Cricetulus griseus: one gene and its partners. The protein of the gene in region 2 interacts with the protein of the main gene of each other region in a pairwise test. Links are inferred from orthologs where the notes say so. Each region holds a gene or a part of one and is shown on either strand. Other genes may lie near its edges.

The links.
Region 1: the proteins of Fam114a1 (region 2) and Spg21 interact in binary tests that used the Homo sapiens proteins (3 or more experiments, as listed by UniProt). The two-hybrid records come from large-scale screens. The link is inferred for Cricetulus griseus from reciprocal best matches to the Homo sapiens genes FAM114A1 and SPG21.
Region 3: the proteins of Fam114a1 (region 2) and Rab2b interact in binary tests that used the Homo sapiens proteins (3 or more experiments, as listed by UniProt). The two-hybrid records come from large-scale screens. The link is inferred for Cricetulus griseus from reciprocal best matches to the Homo sapiens genes FAM114A1 and RAB2B.

The regions. Positions count from the first base shown.
Region 1 is NC_048597.1:177,058,135-177,062,658, forward strand, and holds the start of Spg21 (maspardin), read left to right. Parts: upstream 1-1,482; 5' UTR 1,483-1,701; intron 1,702-4,524. UniProt on the Homo sapiens protein: May play a role as a negative regulatory factor in CD4-dependent T-cell activation.
Region 2 is NW_023276807.1:132,022,596-132,026,398, reverse strand, and holds part of Fam114a1 (protein NOXP20), read right to left. Parts: intron 3,411-3,803; coding exon 3,297-3,410; intron 3,171-3,296; coding exon 3,061-3,170; intron 260-3,060; coding exon 125-259; intron 1-124. UniProt on the Homo sapiens protein: May play a role in neuronal cell development.
Region 3 is NW_023276807.1:207,374,784-207,379,055, reverse strand, and holds the start of Rab2b (ras-related protein Rab-2B), read left to right. Parts: upstream 1-1,230; 5' UTR 1,231-1,445; coding exon 1,446-1,491; intron 1,492-1,712; coding exon 1,713-1,784; intron 1,785-4,272. Other genes in the region: Tox4 (TOX high mobility group box family member 4), read right to left, coding at 787-855, 1,043-1,048. UniProt on the Homo sapiens protein: The small GTPases Rab are key regulators of intracellular membrane trafficking, from the formation of transport vesicles to their fusion with membranes. Rabs cycle between active GTP-bound and inactive GDP-bound states.

The sequences.
Region 1 (4,524 bases), on a different chromosome or scaffold from region 2:
TGATGGAAGCAGAGACAGACACCCACAGCTATACACTGAACTGATCTCTGGAACCCAGTTGCAGAGAGGGAGGAGTGAAGATCAAAGGGGTCGGTACCAGGCTGGTGAATCCCTCAGAAACAGCTGGCCTGAACAAGGGGGAGCACATGGACCCCAGATGCTGTCTGGGAGGACAGTACAGGACTGATCCAGACCCCTGAACGTGAATGTTAATGAGGAGGCCTAGGCACTCTATGGGGCCCCTGGTAGTGGATCAGTATTTTTCTCTGGTGTAAGAAGGGACTTTGAGAGCCCATCCCACGTGAAGGGATGCTCTGTCTCGGCCTGGACACATAGGGAAGGGCCTAGATCCCGCCCAGGATGATGTGGTGGACTTTGGGGAGCACTCATGGAGAGCCCTACCCTCCCTGGGGAGTGGAGGGGGGAGGGGGGGCTGGTGGGAGGTTGGGGAGGGAGGGAGAGGGAGAAGGGATTGACATGTGAAGCTATATAAATAAAATTTTTTTAAAAAGATATATTTTTAAGTTCTCCTTAAAACACTAAGATCTTGCTATAAGATTCTTAAAATTTTTCAAACAAGATTTACAGATAATTCAATATGATCATACATTATTTCAGAGCAAAACTACTTACTGAAAGGAGTCATAACATCTGCACCCTCTTTTGTAAGAACAGTGATTAGAGTGAGCCTTACAGAAGAGGACCTGTGTCTGAGGGCAAGCCTAGTGTTGAGTATGTTCCCCTCAACATCAGCACAAAGCCGCAAAAGGAGACAGTTTGGACAGGAGGTCTGAGGAGGATCTCTGTAACTGTACAGAGAAAACTAGTTCTGTTGAGAAAAAGTATGTAGTTAAGAAGAGGGAGGAGATGGGAGCATGAGAGGAAGATAAAGACTAACAGGGTGATGACCAGAATACTTTATGTAGATATGAAAATGTCCTAATGAAGCCGTTATTGTGATTTAATTAACTTATGCTAATTAAAAAAGAATATATAGCCGGGCGGTGGTAGCGCATGCACAAGGCGGGAAGTGCGCAGAGGCAGGACGATCTCTGTGTGTTCAAGGCCAGCCTGGTCTACAAAGCGAGTTCTAGGACAGCCAGGGCTACACAGAGAAACCCTGCTTCGAAAAACCAAAACCAAAAAGTAAACCAAACCAACCAACCAAATACATCAAGCTCTATTCACCAAAGCTAGAACCCAAAGATGTCTCCCCCGAAGCACGAGCCACCCGAAAACTGAAGGCAGAAGCACAGACTTCACTGCCATAGCTTTCTCCTGGTGCTTATGTCAGACAGGTGACCTAGGACGGACCCTGACCCAACGCCAGCACTGGCGCCAGCTTCTGCATTGCTCCAATACATTTGCGCTCGGGCGAGCACAGAAGCTCCCATCCGGGGCTCCACGCCAGCCTCGTTGTCATAGTTACCGCCAGAGCCCCGCCCCTTCCTCGCTGTCCGGCCCCGCCCCTCAGAACCCGGAAGCGGGAGGCGCGCCCCAGGGAGCTACGGGATTCAGACCTGGGAGGCGGCGGCCTCTGGCTGCTCAGCCGCGCGCCCCCTCTACCTGCTGCGCCCGCGGAGCCTCTGCTCTGCAGCCGCCCGGCCCACCCGCGCCCTGCCGCCTGCCTCCGCAGCGCCCGAACCGGGCCGAAGAGCCGTTTGGGCTGGAGAGAAAGGGACGCGGGGGTGGCCACGGCAGGTGAGGGGCAGGCCTTGGAAAGCGGAGTGAGGGTGTGTGGTGCGTGTAGGGTTGTAGGTGGGTGTGTATCGAGCATGCGTGACTAGTGAGTGTCGTCCACGGGTGGGCCGGTCCTTGTGACCATGCACGTGATCCATATCCGTGTGTGTTTGTGTCTGTGTCTAAGGCCCAGCCTCGGTTCATTGCGGATGGTCGGTGTGCCTGTGGGTCCACTATTGTGTGGCTATGGCTATAACTAGTGGGACTCAGGGAGGCCCCAATGGGGGTTGGTGCCCAAAACCTTAACCGGACATCTTCATCTTCTTGTACCACCCAACTTGGGGCTGTGCGGCAGAAGCTCAGAAGCATTTGGTTTCAGTAAACTTTTAAGGACTGCGAGTAGAGGCCAGTTCTGGAGATCCTGCCTTAGACCGGGCATGAGGCTTGTTAGAGAGTCATGAGAAACATTGCAGGGCTAGCGAGTGTCTCGTTTTTCTTTTCCCAGGAAGTTAGTTGTTAGGTGCTGATGCAGTTGCTTTGTCTCTATCTGCAATTGTCCAGCTACTCTTCGTGCAAGGATTCTAAGGATTGGGAAGTCCTCTAATACTGTCTGAATTTTTCAAAAGGCATTTACAACAGGATCTTGAGAAGAGGTGTCAGAAGATGTCATGCAGGCAGCATCTCCTGTCATGGCATTTAGAGACAAGTGGATAGGTTCCTGGAGAAAGAGGGATGAATTTTCCCTGAAGAAATCGCCCCCGAAAGATAGCTATTTAATACATATGGGTGTGCTGGGGGTGGGGTGAAGATCTGCAGTAAATAGCCAACTGTGGTTCTTTGGGTGTAGTTTAGTGGCAGAAGCTCATGCTTAGCATTCCCGAGGCCATAGGTTCAGTTCCTGGTACCGATAATCATAGTTGTGTCACCTAGAGGCTTTCAAGGTCTAATGCTTTTTTTATTGGCTGTAATAATCACAGATTATCCCTATGTAAGTCCACTATAGATTGAGATAAAGGACCAGCCATATGTGACCATGTGAGTTAACATTTGTAAAGCTGATTTCCTCAGCTGTAAAGTGCAGGTTCTGCTGAGACTCCACGTGCATGCTCACATCCAGCAACACAAAGTCCAGAAAGGACCAGGTGTCCTCAGCATCCCGGAGGAGGGGTTTCCTTAATCATGATTAAAGCTTATCTCTGGCCCTTTCCTCACCAGCCTGAACAAGTGCTTTTGTTTTTGTAAAGAACTGAATCATGAGAAATCGCATCTGTGCTGAGCTCACCGCTCACATTCTTTTTTCATCCTGACCAGTTTGGTCACAATCTCAGCTAACTTTCTGGGCCATAGACACAATGTTTCTTTTGTGACTTGGAAAAGCATCCGACCTAAGTGGATGAAAGAGAGCTAGAACAAACTTTCCTTTTCATACTGCTACAGCTGCTTTCCCTTTGCAGCTTTTTTTTTCTTCTTCTTCTTCTTCTTCATAGCCGTCAGCTGGTCACATGCAACATTTGGTAACTGTCTCGCCTTTCATTACTGCCGAACTAGCACAAGTGTTAGGCTCACTTGTCTTTACAAACGTGTACTCACAGCTGGGCAAAATCTCTTACCCATCAAGATTAGTTATAACGTGTCCTGTTGCAATACTGAGGTAGTTGTGAATTATACGGAAGGCTTTTGGTAAGGACTACCTTCTACCCATTGCTATGGGAAAGAAGTGGGTGACTCGGGGTCCTTGTGTGCCTGCCTACGTGTTTGTGCTGTGGTTTGGTTTGTGAATTGCACCTGACTCTAAAACTGTGAATAATTTCTACCGTAAATGGGTTGATTCTAGAAGTAAACTTTAACAAATTGATTGAAGTTTTTGTTTGTGTGTCTGTTTTGAAATGAGGTTTCACCTATCACTGTGTAGCCCTTGCTGGCTTGGAACTCACTATGTACACCTTGAACTCAGAGTTCTGTCTTCCTCCTGAGTGCTGGGATTAAAGGTGTGCGCTATCATCTGGTGGTTTCACATATTTTTGATATTCTCTCCTACAGAAATTGTTCTAGAAAATGTCTTTAGTTGGTGTCCTAGTGTAAAGTATTTCAGAATTAACTGCTAGTTGCTTTCATTTAAAAAAAGTAGTAGCTTAAGGGAGACAGAAGAGGTAAATTGACTATATTACATTTTGCATGAAACTATTCAAATAATAAGAATCTCTAAAAGTTGTTAAAGTTATGATATAAAAATAGTTTAAACATCTTAGATACTAAACTTGTTAATATTTAAGATAAATGGATTTTGCAAAGGATTGTGTTCTTTGTTTTAGTGTTAATGACTGAATCTGTGCACGATGGTTTCAATATAAGATTGATGGTAATTTACTTTGTGTTTTAAAACAATTTACAGTTTTAGCGGGGGCGGGGGGGCTCTGCTCTCTGTGAGTTAGAGGCCAGCCTGGTCTACAGAGTGAGTTCTCAGTTGGGGATACACAGTGAAATCCTTTCTCAAAAAAAAAAAAATTACAATTTTAACAACCCTCTCAAAATATTTCCTTTGCTTTGAGATAAGAGACCACTATCCTATCAGCATTGTAATTAGAGTTTTAATATTGGTCTGTCTACATTTACTGTCTCCTGGAAGTTCAGTGTAGTGATTCTCAAAGGTAGCAGACCAGTGTTGTGTCCCTGTAGAAAGAGGCCAGAGAATGAGGAAGGGTTCCATTAAGTTTAGAATTCTCTGCCCCTTGCCAGGCCAGAGAGCTTTTTCAAAGTCAGCCTAAACTTAAGTCCTGGACTGTCACCTCATCCCTACTAGGGACTCTAGTTCTGCCCTCAAAGCAGGGGAATGCCACGCAAGAC
Region 2 (3,803 bases):
CTTGCCTCCCACGAGATTTTCAGTGGACCGTGTCAGAAAGTTAGCTTTCTTCCTACTTTTTGTGCCACTTGCTTTGACTTTATTGGCTGAAAGGAGAAAAATCAATGAAGGATTCTAGTCCAACCTGGGACAAGGAAACGGTTCTCTCCATCAGTGTCTTTGTCCGCTTAAACCCTGGGTCACTTTCTGCGAGGACATTCATGGTTTTCTTTCCAATGAATTCCAGAGCATCCAGACCTCCGCTTAAGACACTTTTGCCCTGCAAATGAGAAAAACACATGCAATTAGATTTTTCTACAGCCTGCTGTTTTGCACTGGCCCGCAGTTCCCATGTACCCGGCACTCTCTTCAAATATTAAAATCAATAGAAAGCCACAAGTTTTTCACACCATGACATTGATCATCTATTTAAATCCTGTTTGCTTTTTCTTGAAAAACTGTACATTGTATAATTTGTAGGACATGAGGTGTTATTAAAAATGATGCACATTCGGGATTCATGTCAGTGGCTCTGAGCATATCAAGAGATATGAATCTAAGACATAAAATTAATGGATGACCCAATTGCCATGTTCGTTTGAAAGAATTTTAGCATAAGTAACAGAATTATTTGGGGTGGGTTATTAAAATGTCAAATACTCAGGCTTATTTAGATGATTTTTAATGCAGGGCCCTGAAGCAGCAGACCCTCAGGCTGTTTCAGATGGCTCTTTCGTACTTTCAGAAACTGAAGAACACCAAATATAATTAGTACATTAATGAAGTAAGACAGCTTGCTCTCCATGTACTTCTAGCTGTAGAAACTATTCTATTAGCCAGGTATCAATCAGGAAAAATCCCTTTGCCAGCCATTGTTTTCCTTTTAACGGAAATTGAAACAACAGAGACCCATGCACACTGCTCAAATGAACAGACCTGCCTTGCTTTGAAGACCCTAGACAGAATCCCAACAATACAACTCTAACTACAATCTGCAAACAACTGTATTTTTTCTCACCTTACATGAAAATGTCATCTCTATGTGTTTTCAATCTTCATAATTACTTAAATGGCAGTTTTCAGCCTTGCTGAATGGATATACTTTATCAGACATTTCCACTTTCGGCATTTGGAATTTGTTTTCAAATCTGGCACCAAATCAATACTCATGCTACGGAACAGACTTGTAAAAGCAGACACTTTGAAGGATTCTATGGCTTCAATATAAAGTGTTCCTCAGCTACTAGTGTTATTTTAGGAAGTTCTAGAAACTTAAGGAGGTGGAGGCCAGTTGGAGGACGTGGGCCACTGGGGCGTGTACCTTAAATTTTATATCTGGTTCTCAGTCCCTCCTCTTTCTCTGCACCCGGGCTGCCAGAGGCAAAGAGCCCCCTGCTTACGTAATCCCACCACCATGACATTCAAGCACACGAAGCCAAACAACCATGGCTTAAAGCCTCTCAAACCATGAGCAAAACAAACCTTCTTCCCTGAGTTATTTCCCTGTGTTATTGTCCCAGCAATGATAAAAGCAAAGCATACAAAGGATGATGGGATTCTCAGCAGCTATACTTTTGCAAACTTCAATTTACAGGTCCCCAATATCCTGCCACTTCCATAGAGAATAAAGTGAGAACAGGAAGTATCTGTTCACTGTTGGACAAGGGCAAGCCTGCAGATGGGGTGGGACTGTGGGAAGGAAGCCAAGCAGGTTCAGAACACAGAAAGGGAGCTGGGGATGTGGATGGTGCTTTCAGGAGTGGATTGCTCAGGGCTGGCAAGATAGTTCCATGGAAACAGGCAATTACTGCATGAACCTGATGACCTGAGTTCCATCCCCGGAACCCACATAAAGAGGAAGGAGAGAACTGACTCCACAGAGTTGTCCTCTCATGTTCATATGAGCACCATGGTAAGGTGCCCCTCCCCCATCATATGCACACACAATAATGCAAAAATTTTTAATTAAAAAAAGGGAGGTGACAAGCTATGAATTCATTTTTTACTCCAGAGTTACTGAGTGAGCTTCCTCCACTCCCATGGGTGCCTTTGAACTGCTTTGCTGTGTGACTACTAAAACATCTTGGTATGCCTCTTCTTCCTGCCCAGTCTAGGGGCCTTCAAGGAGCAAGTACAGGACAGTCATTTTCTTTATTCCTGCCATACTTTCACCCCAATGTATGGGTCAGATCACTTACCCTGTTCATCTACAATCCCTTCTCTCCCATGGTGCACTGCACTCCATTGTTGAATTGACTTAATATGGAAAATCTGGCCAGAGTCTGGTGAGGTTCCTGTTACACAGTGAGGACAATTGTCTCTCTTCAAAATCACAACTGATTAAATGACTAAAAAGGGACATGAGCCATATTTCGAGAAAATCTAGTTAGTTTGTTCTAGAGAGTAGACTGAATCTTTTCTTCTTGGCTCTGAGGACCAGCTAGCTCCCTCATCTCACTTGGGGTACCTCCGTTTCCTTTTAACACTCATCACTGTTTTGTTGTCAATAGGATAACAAGCTTCCTTTGAGTGAGATGGTTATGCATCTGTCTTTAAAACAATCCACTTAACATAAATGAAAATGAATAAAAAGGAAGGGTAGGACTTGCAGGGATACATTTAGGGCTCTGCAAGGAAGGGCACAGAAGGCATTGCAGCCATATGGCAGGGTAGGTCTCTGGACTATTCCTCTTGTCAGTGACATACTTTGTTTGTAGACAGTTTCATATTTTTAAGAACATTGAGATAGGATCCAGGAAGAAGAGCTGTCCTGGCTCTGAGTTCCTCCCCCACCCAGAGGTTGTCCTTGCAGCGGCTGAAAAGGACACTGTTAAATCAGATTGAAAAAAAAAAAATAATGTCCCTTCTAAACCATGCTTTTCTATTAAACACAAGCCACATTTCATCTTGCCCTTATTATTTCAGAACCAAGGTCACACCTACTCTGTAGCAAAAAGCATAACAAACCGTAATCCAAAGTTATGAGCAAGGCTGCCTTTTCTCTGATGTATCTGGGTCACGAGATGGAGAGATCAAAAGAAGTGAGCCACCAGGGGAAACATGAAGCAGCTAGGGACTCACCGTGTTTTGAACCACGTTGGTGAGGGCTGACAGCATGCCCCTCGACCCTGCCGCCCCTGGCGGAGGAGAAGTGTGGGGGCCCCCGGCAGGGTCCTGATCTGGAGTCACATCTGTCATGGTAAGAGAGAACACCCCTGTTAGAATGTGGTTTGCTGATCTGAATGTGGGCTCTTTCCCACCGTGTAATTGTGCACATAGTGTAATAAAACTGAACACGAGGTGAACATGCCACTCACTTTCAGAAAATCCATTTTCGGCATCAGTTGGTACCCCTTCAGGAGATCCAGAATTGACACTGTGGATTCGCAGGGTTGCCCCGGCCTTTTCCTTGACTGCAGTTAACCCATGACCTGTAGGTAAATAAATATATAGTTAACAGATACATTATAAGCCCACACAATCTGTAACCCCTGGGCTGATCACACAAAACATGGCCTTGTGGGCGTCCACCCTGAATAAAACAAAATGCTCAACAGCAGGGCATTTACATCCCCTAGGGTAGGGCCCAAAGATGAACTCAACTTGGTCAAGGCTGAGTGACCTGAAAGAAGCCACCTTCCTTTTGTGACTCAGTTTCCTTCCTATGTTTCCAGACCCTCTGCCTTTCACACTGGCTGTTTGCACACTGAGATTCTAAACTCAAGCCAGCATCTTTGAATGACATGGCTGTCTTATCTTCCTCATGCTTTTTTAAGTGTGATATGGCTGATATGTCATTTGTTTTTGTTGTTGTTTGCTTATTT
Region 3 (4,272 bases), about 75 Mb from region 2:
CATTATTTCTACTTCACACCATCTTTAAAAAGCAAAACAAGCAAGCGGATCTCTGAGAGTTCAAGACCTGCCTGGTCTACAGAGGGAGTGTTAGGACTGGCACCAAATCTACACAGGGAAACCCTGGCTTGGAGGAAAAAAAAAAAAGGCAAAACAAAACAAACCCTATTATTATAGTTAACTTGACAACTGTGATCCAAAAGTGAAGTTATCTGCTCAAAGTTTGTACTCACTGGCAAACAAGGTATACTCTACTCTTTTTATGTTCTCTGGCGGCTATTTCTTTCCTTCTATCCTTCATTAGCAAAGCGAGCAGAAACCACGTTGGTGAAAGTAGCCACTTTTATCAGAAATTTCAAGTTTAAAAGACCACTTACAGAGTTCAAGAATTAACACCTGTCCGAGGTTAACCCCTGCTACATAAACTACTTTCTTATCAGGTTTTCTTTACTGAAAAAAAAAAAAAAACAAATTTCTTCCTTGCTATCTTCCCAAGATTGTTGCAACTACTTCACCCGAACCAGGGCAGACAATCCCACTCGTTCTCCACATTCAGAACCGGACTCCTTCCTTAAACAGGCAGTGAAGCTCTTCAACATCCTGGTTTTCTGATGACAGACGCTTCCCGTTCGTCCCCCCACCGCACCGCTCAGAGTCCTCAGAGGCTCTCGAAGCCTCGGCCACTGTCCTCCCCAGCTCCCGTCCGCCCCCGCGCTCTCCCCCACCGTCCGGCCCCAACCGCTGCCTAGGCCCTCCCGCGCCCCAGCGTCGGCAGCTTTTGCTCACCTCGGCCCCTGACAGGAAAGGATGCGAGGGCCCAGTGATGGTCAGGTAATTGTCATTTCCTCCGGGAAACTGTAAACCAAAAACAAATAAATAAATAAAAAGCCACGGGGATAAGTGAGCGAAGCAGGGGCGCGCGGGGACCCCGGGCCTCCCAGCCCTCCCGAGCACCCCTCGCTCCCCGCTGTCCGGCTTCCCGCTTCTGCTTCCATCTAGTCGGCCGCGCTGCTCGTCAACCCTCCAGACCCCCCGCGCGTACCTCCATCTTCACAGCACCACTACCAGCGTCCCAGTGTCCGCATCGCTCCCACCGGACCCACTGGGTTCCGAACGCGTCACTTCCTCAAAGAGGAGCGTCGCTCTCCGCTGATTGGACGGAGTCCTGGCCGAACCAGTCGCGATTCGAGCTGCCCGAAGGCTCGCTGTCGCCCCCTGGAGCTTGGTGGGATAATGGCATGTAGAAGAGCGCGGGGCGGCCCTAGAGGCGGCGTCGGGTACTCCGGATCCAGGGAGGATTTCTGGGGAGAGCAATAGAGACGCGGCCTGAGCTAGAAGGGCTGGAGCGGAGGCAAATAAGGAGATCGGTAGAGTGAGTGGCTAGAGAGGACGGAGGTAAGTGGCTGTAGAAATCAGGCGGACCGGAACACAGACGCCTCGGGACCATGACTTACGCTTATCTCTTCAAGTACATCATCATCGGAGACACAGGTAACCCGCAGGTGGACCGCCTTCGGGGCTTGGGCGGGGATCCCACCTCCAAAATCGGCCTGGGGGCGGGGCGGGACGAGTGGGCCGGGCGAGCGGAGTGGCGCGGAGGGGGCGGGGCGAACTCCGGGGGCGGGGCTCTGTCTTTTCCTTAGACCCTGTGCCCCGCCTGGGAGCCCGCGGTTTCCCGGGTGGCGTGCCTACTCCGCACTGTCTGTTTTCAGGTGTGGGGAAGTCATGTCTCCTCCTGCAGTTCACCGATAAGCGGTTCCAGCCTGTGCACGACCTCACAATAGGTAAGCGTATCCCCTCGTTCCAGAACAGATAGATAAAAGCTGGCTGGCTGAACTGCTGAAGGAGAAAGTTAACAGTCTCAGTATTCTAAGGAAAAAGTTGCGCCTCCCCGCCTTAGACCTAAGCCGTGCCATATGAAAAATGATAGAAGCCGGTAAATAGAGGGTAAATAATGGAAAGGTAACGTTAGAGAGGGATGTGAGATAAACACTAGTTGTCATAGGAATTTTTCTTTAAATGCAACTTGTATGTTTCTGCAAAAAAAAAAAAAAAATCCCACGAAAACACAACTGCTTATTCAGAAACTCATCTGTAGTTTGTGGTTAACTACCAACCTCACATGTTTTTCGAAGTAAACTCCGACATCGATTCTTTTTGTGTTGGAGAGGATAAAGCCAATTTAAGAGTCATCTCAGTCCTTCCTCCTCTTTTTTGAGACAAGTTCTGGCTATGTAGTCCAGGCTAGCCTCAGATTCACTCTGTATTCCACACTGGCCATGAATTCCCAGATATCCTTCTGCCTCAGCCTCCAAGTGCTGTGATTAGGGGCATGCACCATCACAGGCTTAATAAGTTTTTGTTTTTGTTTTTTGAAGACTGGCTTTGTACTCCATGAGTAATCTGAAGATGACCTTGAACAGGCCTTGATCTTACTGCCTCCATCTCATAAATGCTGGGATTAGATGTGCTCAGCCTGTTTTGTTTGTTTGGTTTTTGTTGTTGTTTTAGTTTATTTATTTATTTGTGTGTGTGTTTTATGAATATGAGTGCTCTGTCTTCATGCACACCAGAAGAGGGTGCTGGGAATTGAACTCAGGGCATCGGGAAGAGCAGTGAAGTGCTCTTAACTTTGGAGCCACCTCTCCAGCCCCAGTGTTTTAGTTTCTTACTCATTAAAATTACATTCTTTTTAAAAATAATTTATTTCTATTTTATATGAATTGGTGTTTTACCTTCTGTTTGAGGGTGCTAGATTCCTTGGAACTGTAGTCACAGACAGTTGGGAGCTGCCATATGGGTGCTGGGAATTGAATCCAGGTCCTCTGGAAGAGCCAGTGCTCCTAACTTCTGAGACATCTCTCCAGCCCCCGAAATTACATTCTTAACTTTTCTGAAAGAAAGAAAAATTGACTGATGTTTTTTCAAAAAGTAACTTTTGATTTTTATTGAGGTAATAGCCAGAAGCGATTTCTATATCTTTCTTATAGATTATAGCACCTTAAAGTAGAAATATTCTATATAGGGAAAGGATATCTACATAGGATGACTGAATTGGTATTATAGCATTCCTGAAGGTAAACTAGATTAGTAATCTTGAAAATCTGAATTCCTTGTGCTATGTGCAAAATACTGTATGAAAATAGAAAAGGGGAGGAATTGTCTGACTTATGATGCAATGTTTTTAACAGGACTGTTTTTGAAATATTGAGGTGAATTTTACCTTGAAATAGAAGAATGTCAAAAGCCTTATCAGTTTGCCAGTTTCCAAACTGCTTTGAGATAGGCTATTTCTGGTTAATAATCCTTCCTTCCTTCCTTCCTTTCTTTCTTTCCTTCTTTCTTTCTGTGGCTTTTCAAGACAGCCTTGTGGTCCCAGAACTTGCTCTGTAGACCAGACTGGCCTTGAACTCACAGATCCGCCTGCCTCCGGCAACTTTCTTAATTGCAAATGAAAATAATTTCAGAATTATAGTAAAGAAGTCCTGCTTCATACATAGAACTAGTGGGTATTCTGAGACACTGCCAAGAAAGTCTTTCAAGGGGGCTGGAGAGATGACTTAGCCCTGGCTAAGGGCACTGGCTGCTCTTGCCAGGTTCAATTGCCAGCACCTGAATGGCAGCTCATAATCTCTGTCACTCCAGTTGCAGAAGGATCTGTTGTCCTCTTCTGACCTCCACATGGAGGTGTAACAGGCACACATGTAGCACACATACTTACATGCAGGCAGACACTTACATGCATAAAACTTTAAAAGCCTAAAAAAGAAAGAAGGAAATACTGGGCTGGAGAGATGGCAAAGAGGTTAAGAGCACTGTCTGCTCTTCTAGACATCCTGAGTTCAATTCCCAGGAACCACATGGTGGCTCACAAGCATCCATAATGAGATCTGGTGCACAGACATACATGCAGGCAGAACACTGCATATAATAAATAAATCTTAAAAATAAAGGAAGTACTTTTTGTTTTTTCCAGCAGGGTTTCTCTGTATTGCTTTGGAGGCTGTCCTGGCACTCACTCTGTAGACCAGGCTAGCCTGGAACTCACAGAGATTCGCCTGCCTCTGACTCCCAGGTGCTGGAATTAAAGGCGTGTGCCACCAAAGCCCAGCTAGAAAATAACTTTCAAACAGTTTAGAAGTCCTTTGAATTAAATATTACATAGTCAGATTTCAGTATAACATTTCTAAAAATTTATCTACCTCTTGGGGGTGCAAACATCTATAATGAGATCTGGTGCCCTCTTCTGGTGTGCAAGCATACATGCAGGCA